2 linked regions of the Caenorhabditis elegans genome follow. The protein of the gene in region 1 purifies or fractionates together with the protein of each later gene. This does not show direct contact. Each region holds a gene or a part of one and is shown on either strand. Other genes may lie near its edges. The genes, in order: fib-1 and nol-56.

Region 1 (3,814 bases):
TCGGAAGTAGACTAGCAATTTCACTGATAGGACGTACCAACTTGCATTCGATATTGGAAAATACATCACGAACTCTGGAAACATTCTAAGAATAGCACAAATTTTGCGAATATTGCTCGAACCTCGGATTATCAGCTTCAATGAGCACAGGTCTTTCCATTTTACCTTTGCAAAACTCGAGTGTTTCGGTTAACGAGGCAACTGAACTTGAGAAATGATACGCGAAGATGAATCGTGTCAAAGAACTTTCAAAAGTTTGAGCGAGACGTCCGAGTGAGTCGGCAAACTCACTGTTCCCCTTCAACTTCTCGGCATTATTAATGATAACAAAACGTAGAACAGATATAAAATCATCCAACTGTTCCATTTCATTCTTCAGCTTATCGATATACTCTTTGATTTTTTTGAATGAACCAATGAAAACTCTAGATCTATTCGATGTCATGAATTCATTTGACAGCTCAGTTGTGTCTAGATTTGTTATATGTGTATTTGGACGAGTGGAATTAGAACTTCTTCTCTTGTTGAGTAGGCCTCTCATTACAGATTTCGAGCGTTTACCGTCTGTAGTTATAATAATGCATCGCGGAAACGGTTTCTGAAATTAGAATCAGTTATCACTTCCACTAGCTTGGCTAACCCTATGCGAACGAAATCTGTCGATGGAGTGCAAGATGGGTTGTCCGTAGTAAAACTCGTGATTTGGGCCTGAATGAATGCAAAACAAATGTTCGCCGTTGTGAAAACGCCCGAGACTGCAATATAAAGCATCTTGCAATGTTCTCCATGGACTGTAGCCTCGGCGGCCACTGAAAATATGAATGTATTTTCAGAATTAACGACGGGATCGAATGACCTGATTGAAAACTTCATCAGCTTCCTCGTTATTTGCAGCGACCCGGTTTCAGACGATCTCACATACGCTACTTCTTCAAAGTATTAATTTCGATGGTATCTTTAGTATGATATTTCAAACCTTCTCTTGAAGCTGCCGGTCCCCACTCTGGGTTATGCGCTCGAGCCTGGAAAACATGAAATAATTGCAGTCATTCATTAATCTCAACTTCTTTGACCGAAAAACATGATCTCCTTGCATTGCCCAATCCATCAAGATCAAAAGCATTCACGACACCTGAAATGAATAAAATAAATATCCCATTTAGCTCATCAAAAATTGTCACCCATGCTACATATGCCGATTCCATTGGAGTTATCCATTTCTTTGATACTTATCTAAATACTTCCATTCAAATCCTGTTATTTAAACCCGTGCGCGATATCTGAACAACTCCGGAGTGTTTTTCAATGCTCGACTCGCTCCAGCAATCGATAAACAGAATGGGAATCGGTTTCGCTGCGTTCAAAACATCGGCCGGAATATTCTGGTTTCTGAGACAACGAAACGTGAAACATCTATCAAGTTTTCAACCTTTTTTCGAAGCCATGATTAGTATCATAATTTAAAACCTGTTTTTTTGCTTGACGTTTTTGCATATTTCAATCAAAACCACCTTTCATATCGCTTTGATTTTCAATTTTAGAACAAAGCCCCGCCTACAATTGCCTGATTTCGTTCTACGCGAGCTGTTTGCTTGCGAATCGATAAAGTGTCGGTTGTGTGGCAAGTGCGCTCCACTGTGCAGGTCTCGCAGCGATTGCCATTTTCCACCGTAGTTCCCTCCAATGTCTTCTCCATTTTCGTAATTTTTTGGTTCGCCCAAATTTTTTTTCGTCATTTTTTGCCTGAAATGTTCGTTTCTTCTCAATTTTTCTTGGATTTTAAGAGTAGATTTGAGAATAGTGGATGATTCTAGTCGATTCAGATCGACTGGAGCGTGATTTAAATCCATGACTCTAAGTGAAATGGGATAATTCTCAATCTTACTCGGCTCTCCCACGGCTGAGGTATGTATTTTTCGTAATTTCGCTTTTCGTTTTTGTTAAATAATCGATTTTTGTAGTATGGGACGTCCAGAGTTCAATCGTGGCGGCGGCGGCGGAGGTAAACTGAATTTCAGGATTTTTTCGTATTATAAATATTATTTTTCAGGTTTCCGAGGTGGACGCGGTGGAGACCGTGGTGGTAGCAGAGGTGGATTTGGAGGCGGTGGTCGTGGAGGATATGGCGGAGGTGATCGTGGCAGTTTCGGTGGAGGTGATCGCGGAGGCTTCAGAGGAGGACGCGGAGGTGGAGACCGCGGTGGTTTCCGTGGAGGAAGAGGCGGTGGTGATCGGTTTGTGTTTTATAATTCTGTTCGCCATCAAAACGATAATTTTTCAGAGGTGGTTTTGGTGGCCGTGGATCACCAAGAGGAGGATTCGGAGGACGTGGATCTCCAAGAGGCGGAAGAGGATCACCACGTGGTGGACGCGGAGGAGCCGGTGGAATGCGAGGAGGAAAGACTGTCGTTGTCGAACCACATCGTCTCGGTGGAGTATTCATCGTGAAAGGAAAGGAAGATGCTCTTGCCACAAAGAACATGGTTGTGGGAGAGTCCGTGTACGGAGAGAAGAGAGTGTCCGTCGATGACGGAGCTGGCTCAATCGAGTACCGTGTGTGGAATCCATTCCGTTCTAAGCTCGCTGCTTCCATCATGGGAGGATTGGAGAACACTCACATCAAGCCAGGAACCAAACTTCTCTATCTCGGAGCTGCTTCTGGAACTACTGTTTCCCATTGTTCTGACGTCGTTGGACCAGAAGGAATCGTTTATGCTGTTGAGTTCTCTCACAGATCTGGACGTGACCTTTTGGGAGTTGCCAAGAAGAGACCAAACGTTGTCCCAATTGTCGAAGATGCCAGACATCCACACAAGTACCGCATGCTTGTCGGTAAGTATTAAATTTAAGCATTTTTGTGTTTAATATTTATATTACAGGAATGGTCGATGTCATCTTTTCTGATGTTGCTCAGCCAGATCAAGCTCGTATTGTTGCTCTCAATGCCCAAAACTTCCTTCGCAACGGTGGACATGCCGTCATCTCTATCAAAGCTAATTGCATTGACAGTACTGCTGAGCCCGAGGCTGTATTTGCTGGTGAAGTCAACAAGCTGAAGGAGGAGAAGTTCAAGCCACTTGAGCAGGTAACCCTGGAGCCGTATGAGAGAGACCACGCTGTCGTGGTTGCTGTCTACCGCCCAGTCAAGGGAAAGAAGGTCTGATCTCCAAAATCATCGTTACATTTTTTTGTTTTGTTATTTTGTTACATGTATACCTCCATCTTGATCGTTAACACTTGTTTTACTTGTTTCCCAATAAAATGTTGTTGATGCTGTCATGTTAGGGATGTTTTACTTTTATCTTTACTTGGTTCTCAACCTTGCCGATATTTCTATTCTACTTTAATTGTAACCTTTATTTTGTTCTTTGTTTAATATATTATTACAGGGTAATGACGTCTACCGTGCAATCGGTTCAGACCTTCGGGCGCAAGAAGACTGCCACCGCTGTCGCTCACTGCAAAAAGGGACAAGGACTTATCAAGGTCAACGGTCGCCCACTTGAGTTCTTGGAGCCACAGATCCTGCGCATCAAGCTTCAGGTTTTTGTTCCGACATTAAATTCCAACTAACTTGTATTTTTCAGGAGCCACTTCTCCTCGTCGGAAAGGAACGCTTCCAGGATGTCGACATCAGAATCCGTGTTAGCGGTGGAGGACACGTTGCCCAGATCTACGCTGTCCGTCAAGCCCTTGCCAAGGCTCTCGTTGCCTACTACCACAAGTACGTTGACGAGCAGAGCAAGAGAGAATTGAAGAACATCTTCGCCGCTTACGACAAGTCCCTTTTGGTTGCTGACCCAAGACGCCGTGA
Region 2 (5,125 bases), 4.7 Mb from region 1:
GAATTAGAAGCAGCTCGTTTTTCTGGAGATAATTTTGTTCGATATTCTGGTGAAGTAACAGCAGCAAACGAAGCCCAAGTTTTTGCATGGCAAGCCACTCGTGGTGGAGTATATGCTCACTCGATTGCTGAACCTACAAAGTTAGAAGCACTGAAAAAAGAGTATGAGAAGGAAAAATCAACTCTGAAAAACGAAACACAGAAAGAGTTATTAGACAAATACGGAGGAGGTGAGCACATGGAAAGGCCTGCGGATGAGTTGCTACTGGCACAAACTGAGAGTTATATCGAATACAATCGGAAAGGAAAAGTTATCAAGGGAAAGGAAAAAGTAGCAATTAGCTCTCGCTTCAAAGAAGATATATATCCCCAAAATCATACATCAGTGTTCGGAAGTTTCTGGAGAGAGGGTCGGTGGGGATATAAGTGCTGTCATCAATTCGTCAAGAACTCATATTGTACGGGAAAGCAGGGAATTGAAGCTGAAACGAGCGCAGCAAAAGGTACAACGACCTCAAACGAAGAAATTTTCAAAGTTCCGAAGTTAGTAGAGAAGACTGAAGTTAAAGAAGAAAAAGAGAAGGAAGATTCCATCAAGGATGAAGTAGCAGAAGAAAACAGTGATAATGATAATGACGAAGAAAAGGAAAAAGTATCAGAGAAGTCCATATCACCATCACCACCAAGTGACGATGAAGAAAAAGAAAAAGAACGCGAGAAGGAAAGGTTAATTGAAAAAGAACGAAGAGAACGGGACCAGCGGCGTCGTGATAAAAAACGTGAAAAGCGTGAACGCAAGAAGGCAAAGCTGGGGAAAAGAAAGAGGCGTCATCGCGATTCGGACGATGAAAGCGATCCTTCGTCGGGAAGTGGTTCAGAATCTGATTCTGATGAAGAAATGCGTAAAGCTATGAAGAAGGCGAAACGGGAAAAGGCCGAAGGAATGAAAGCTGCAAGAGAGGTAAGATTACCAATACTAATTTTATCCGGGTCGCTTAGTACTATTATATTCCTTGAAAATTCAAAATATAAAATACTTTGTTCAGGGTGATCGCGGCCGTAAATACAACACTGACTACTCCAACACTGCACCGAACGAAAAAGAAATGGAGGCTTATCGTGTGACAAGTGTTCATTCTGCTGATCCGATGGCAGCCTACATGAATTCCAAATTTGAGAAGAAACACACCAAGTAATTATTTGAAGTCGTCTCCGTAGTTTTTTCTCTTTATTGTTGTTTGTTGAAACATTTGTATTCAGTCTATTCAATAAATTATTCAATTCATGATCACCATTATTTTTTTAATTCCGATTTTACAAAATGCCCTTATTCAATAATTCATTTTCGAACGTCTGCGCCCAACTTCGTGTTAAATAATTTTTAAATACGTGCTTCAGTATATTCGTTCATTCAAAAACCTCCACGTCATGTTTTCTTGATCTGGATTTATTTACATTCTGAAAATAAATTCTAAGCACATCGATTCTGGTGAACGGCTAGAAAAATTTCGATTTTTCCCGATAATATTTCGTTCGTCTTTTTTCATTTCTATAGAAATTTCTAATAAAACGTTTTACTGGCGTAATTTTCTCCACTGCCATTATTTTGTCCGAGTGGAGTTCACGAGTAGTAAAGGCACACACTCTTTTGCGAATAGGTCTCGCAGCGAAAGAGGTACGCCGTCGTCTTTTTGATTCGTCCTTATTTTTTCTCCGGCCTATTTTTGATACTTATCGATCCAATTTCGGTTTTTATTTATTTATTTATTACTGGAATGATAAGGAAAGATGTATTTATAAACAATTACATTAATGTTCTATCAATTCTTCTTTACTTAAAGTCTCACAGTTTTTGCACCCTTTTTGGTTTTCTTGAATAAATGATTTTTCAGGTTCTTACACCATGTCGGAAGTTCCCCACTTCGTGCTCTATGAGCATGCAGCTGGATACGCTCTCATGAAGATTAAGGAGTTTGATGATGCTGGTCTTATCCTCCAAGAGGTACGTTCGCTCGAAAAAAGTATTTTTAAAATATCCTCGCTTATAAGCCGGGGGACTAGCCTTTGCTGAGTTCACTAGTAAAACGCGAGGAAAATTATAGAGACATCCAGACACCGATTATGTTGTGATATATTCGGTCACTTCGTATGTCCCACAGTTTAGTGCTTAAATTAACGCATTTTCAGGTCGATGCCGCTCATGCTGATGGATACAAGTTCTCGCAAATCGTTGAGCTTGCTTCGTTTGATCCGTTCAAAAACACCGAAGCTGCATTGGAAAACTGCAACTCCATCTCTGAAGGTAACAAAGACCGATAAGTTTTGATGGGGAGTAATTATTTTAATTATTAGGTCTCGCCCACCCTGATCTCACTAATTTTCTTCAAAAGTCGCTTCCAAAAAAGAAAAAACACGTTGTGCTTGGAATCAATGACTCGAAGCTTGCGGGTTCGCTTACTGAAGCGTTCCCAGATCTGAAGCTTGTCTTCGGAGGTGTTATCACCGAGGTAACGTGAAGATTCACAATAAACTCTTTGGAGTTTACCTGAATCTGTTACCGATGACGAAAACACATATTTTGAGTTTAGATTCTGCGTGGTACTCGTGTTCATTTCGAGCGTTTGGCCAAAAATCTCCCACATCACTCCTTATCGAAAGCTCAGCTTTCTCTCGGTCATAGTTACTCTCGTTCGAAGGTGCGTACCTCGATCGCGCTTTTTTCTCTAAATGTTTTTTGATAGGTCAAATTCGATGTGCATCGTGTGGACAACATGGTTATTCAATCGATTGCCCTTCTCGATCAGTTGGACAAGGATATCAATCTTTTTGGAATGAGAATCCGTGAATGGTACTCTTACCATTATCCAGAGCTCTTCCGTCTGGCTCCAGATCAATACAAGTACTCTCGCCTTGCTGTCGCTATCTTGGACAGAAACAAGATGGCTGAAAATGAGAACCTCGAGAATGAGATTCTTGGTAAGTATTATAGTTCAAAATGTAGATTTTGGGTAACCTCTCTTATAAGCCGGGGGACTAGCATTTTGTTAAGTTCACTAGTAAAATGAGAGGTAAAGCATAGAGACAACCAGACACCGAGAATGTTTTGATGTTTTCGGTCACTTTGTGTGTCCCACAAATATTCTTTCCTTTTTCAGAAATTCTTGACAATGATTCCGAGAAAACCGCTCAGATCATCGAAGCGGCCAGAACATCAATGGGAATGGATATTTCCGATCTCGATCTTGAGAACATCAAGAGATTCGCCGCTCGTGTCTCTTCTCTCATGGAGTATAGACAACAACTTCACGAGTACATTAAAGATCGTATGGACCACTGTGCTCCTTCTCTCAGTGCTCTTATCGGAGAACAAGTTGGTGCTCGCTTGATCTCGCATGCTGGTTCGCTGACCAACTTGGCCAAGTATCCAGCGTCCACTGTCCAAATCCTCGGAGCAGAGAAGGCTCTTTTCCGTGCCTTGAAGACCAGATGTAAGTCATGAAAAATGTATCATTAATTGATGGCATGTATTTAATGCGGGTGGATGATTTTAGTTCAGCCGTTTAGCTTGCATGCAAAATTATTTTCTATTGAAGATTTTATTCGCTGCACTCGGTCATATTCGAGTCTATGATTTTTCTGAAATTGGTACATTTTCAGCCAACACTCCAAAGTATGGACTTCTCTTCCACTCCAGCTTCATTGGAAAAGCTGGAACCAAGAACAAGGGTCGTGTGTCCAGATATCTTGCTAACAAGTGCTCCATTGCTGCTCGTGTGGATTGCTTCTCCGAGACTCCAGTTTCGACATATGGAGAATTCCTTCGCCAACAGGTTGAGGATAGACTTGAGTATTTCACCTCCGGAACTGTTCCAAAGAAAAACATTGACGTCATGAAGGAGGCCGAGGAAGCTGCCGTTGAGGTTAAGGAGAAGGTACAGTTTTGCGCAAATTTCCTATTTAGCATGTATTTAATGCGGGCAAATTGTTTTAATTCGGCCGTTTAGCTTGCATGCGATATAATTATCCATTGAAGAATTTTTAGCTGGGTTTCTCTCATTTTAAACTCATGATCTATCTTTTAAGGAAACAATCAATTAAAAATTGTATTTCAGGTCATCAAAAAGAAGAAGAAGGCTGCCAAGAAAGCCAAGCGTCTTGCTGAAGAGTCTGTCACTGCAACTGCTGAAGCTGAGGTTGACGAGGATGCTCCAAAGCCAAAGAAGAAGAAGAAGAGCAAGGCTGGAGACGAGTAATCTTCATCATCACTACACCACTGATCTTTTTTGTTTTATGAATGTAACTCCCCCATGTTGAACTATTTTGTTTTTGTTGACTGTTGGACCCCTACATCTTGTTGTTACTCTGTTTTCTTCTTAATGAATAAACTTGTATAATCCAGCGTAAATGTTTTAGAATTGACTTCACATATAAACTTCAGTGCGAGTAATGTTCGAAAGTGCTCTGTTCACTACACTACGCGAAGCCGTGTATTAAGAATGAGAGGGCGGCGTCAAAATCTCGAGAAGGGCGGGGCCAAGAGAGCAAGACTGGAGCTTAGAAAATGCACAACACGTCAGTTGAGACTCAGTCAGTCTCATAATAGGTCGGGAAAACAACCCTTTTCGTTCTTTTAGAGAGTAAATAATAATTTCATTAGTCGCCTTTATTGATACTGTCTTATTTTCAGATCTGTTTTCAAAATAATTATTAATTTCCAGTATTCTCTTTCTTTGGTCTTCCTACACAAAATGAATTGCCGGCTTTTTGTCATTTTCGTCTCAATTCTCGTTACGGTTTTTGCACAGGTACAGGTTTTATTCATTAAAAAAAGAATGGAGAAGAACTTTAATTATAAAAAGCTAAACTTATTTTAACTTTGTTTTTGCAAAAAAGCTCAGAATATAGTACTACTTTTGAAGAAAAAATCTCTAGAAGCCAAAAGTTTTTGATTGGAAGCGTTATTTTTTGGTAACTCTTGCCATTTGTGCAATTTGGAATGTAGAAATTCATATGCTTCAGTCTTGAATGGAAAACTTGATAAACTTTCGGTAGATAAAAAATTATGGAGATCGTGTCGAGAACCACCGAAAGAATGCACGTGTACCTTTAAAATGATGAAATCCTTA

Evidence for each region.
Region 2: the proteins of fib-1 (region 1) and nol-56 purify together in Caenorhabditis elegans (affinity purification with mass spectrometry; 2 studies listed by BioGRID, with this or other methods). This does not show direct contact.

Annotation. Positions count from the first base shown.
Region 1 is NC_003283.11:15,000,117-15,003,930, reverse strand, and holds fib-1 (rRNA 2'-O-methyltransferase fibrillarin), read left to right. Parts: upstream 1-1,821; 5' UTR 1,822-1,905; intron 1,906-1,961; 5' UTR 1,962-1,962; coding exon 1,963-2,002; intron 2,003-2,050; coding exon 2,051-2,234; intron 2,235-2,281; coding exon 2,282-2,832; intron 2,833-2,879; coding exon 2,880-3,163; 3' UTR 3,164-3,278; downstream 3,279-3,814. Other genes in the region: mut-15 (MUTator), read right to left, coding at 1-74, 123-598, 641-809, 857-929, 977-1,022, 1,065-1,132, 1,182-1,218; rps-16 (Small ribosomal subunit protein uS9), read left to right, coding at 3,394-3,543, 3,588-3,814. UniProt on the Caenorhabditis elegans protein: S-adenosyl-L-methionine-dependent methyltransferase that has the ability to methylate both RNAs and proteins. Involved in pre-rRNA processing.
Region 2 is NC_003283.11:10,349,745-10,354,869, reverse strand, and holds nol-56 (Nucleolar protein 56), read left to right. Parts: upstream 1-1,891; 5' UTR 1,892-1,902; coding exon 1,903-2,001; intron 2,002-2,033; exon of another isoform or gene 2,034-2,160; intron 2,161-2,186; coding exon 2,187-2,301; intron 2,302-2,351; coding exon 2,352-2,506; intron 2,507-2,587; coding exon 2,588-2,695; intron 2,696-2,740; coding exon 2,741-2,975; intron 2,976-3,007; exon of another isoform or gene 3,008-3,137; intron 3,138-3,154; coding exon 3,155-3,487; intron 3,488-3,516; exon of another isoform or gene 3,517-3,652; intron 3,653-3,656; coding exon 3,657-3,931; intron 3,932-3,957; exon of another isoform or gene 3,958-4,090; intron 4,091-4,111; coding exon 4,112-4,252; 3' UTR 4,253-4,399; downstream 4,400-5,125. Other genes in the region: sluh-7 (Pre-mRNA-splicing factor SLU7), read left to right, coding at 1-960, 1,046-1,195; nssp-62 (Neuropeptide-Like Protein), read left to right, coding at 4,748-4,804. UniProt on the Caenorhabditis elegans protein: Required for 60S ribosomal subunit synthesis.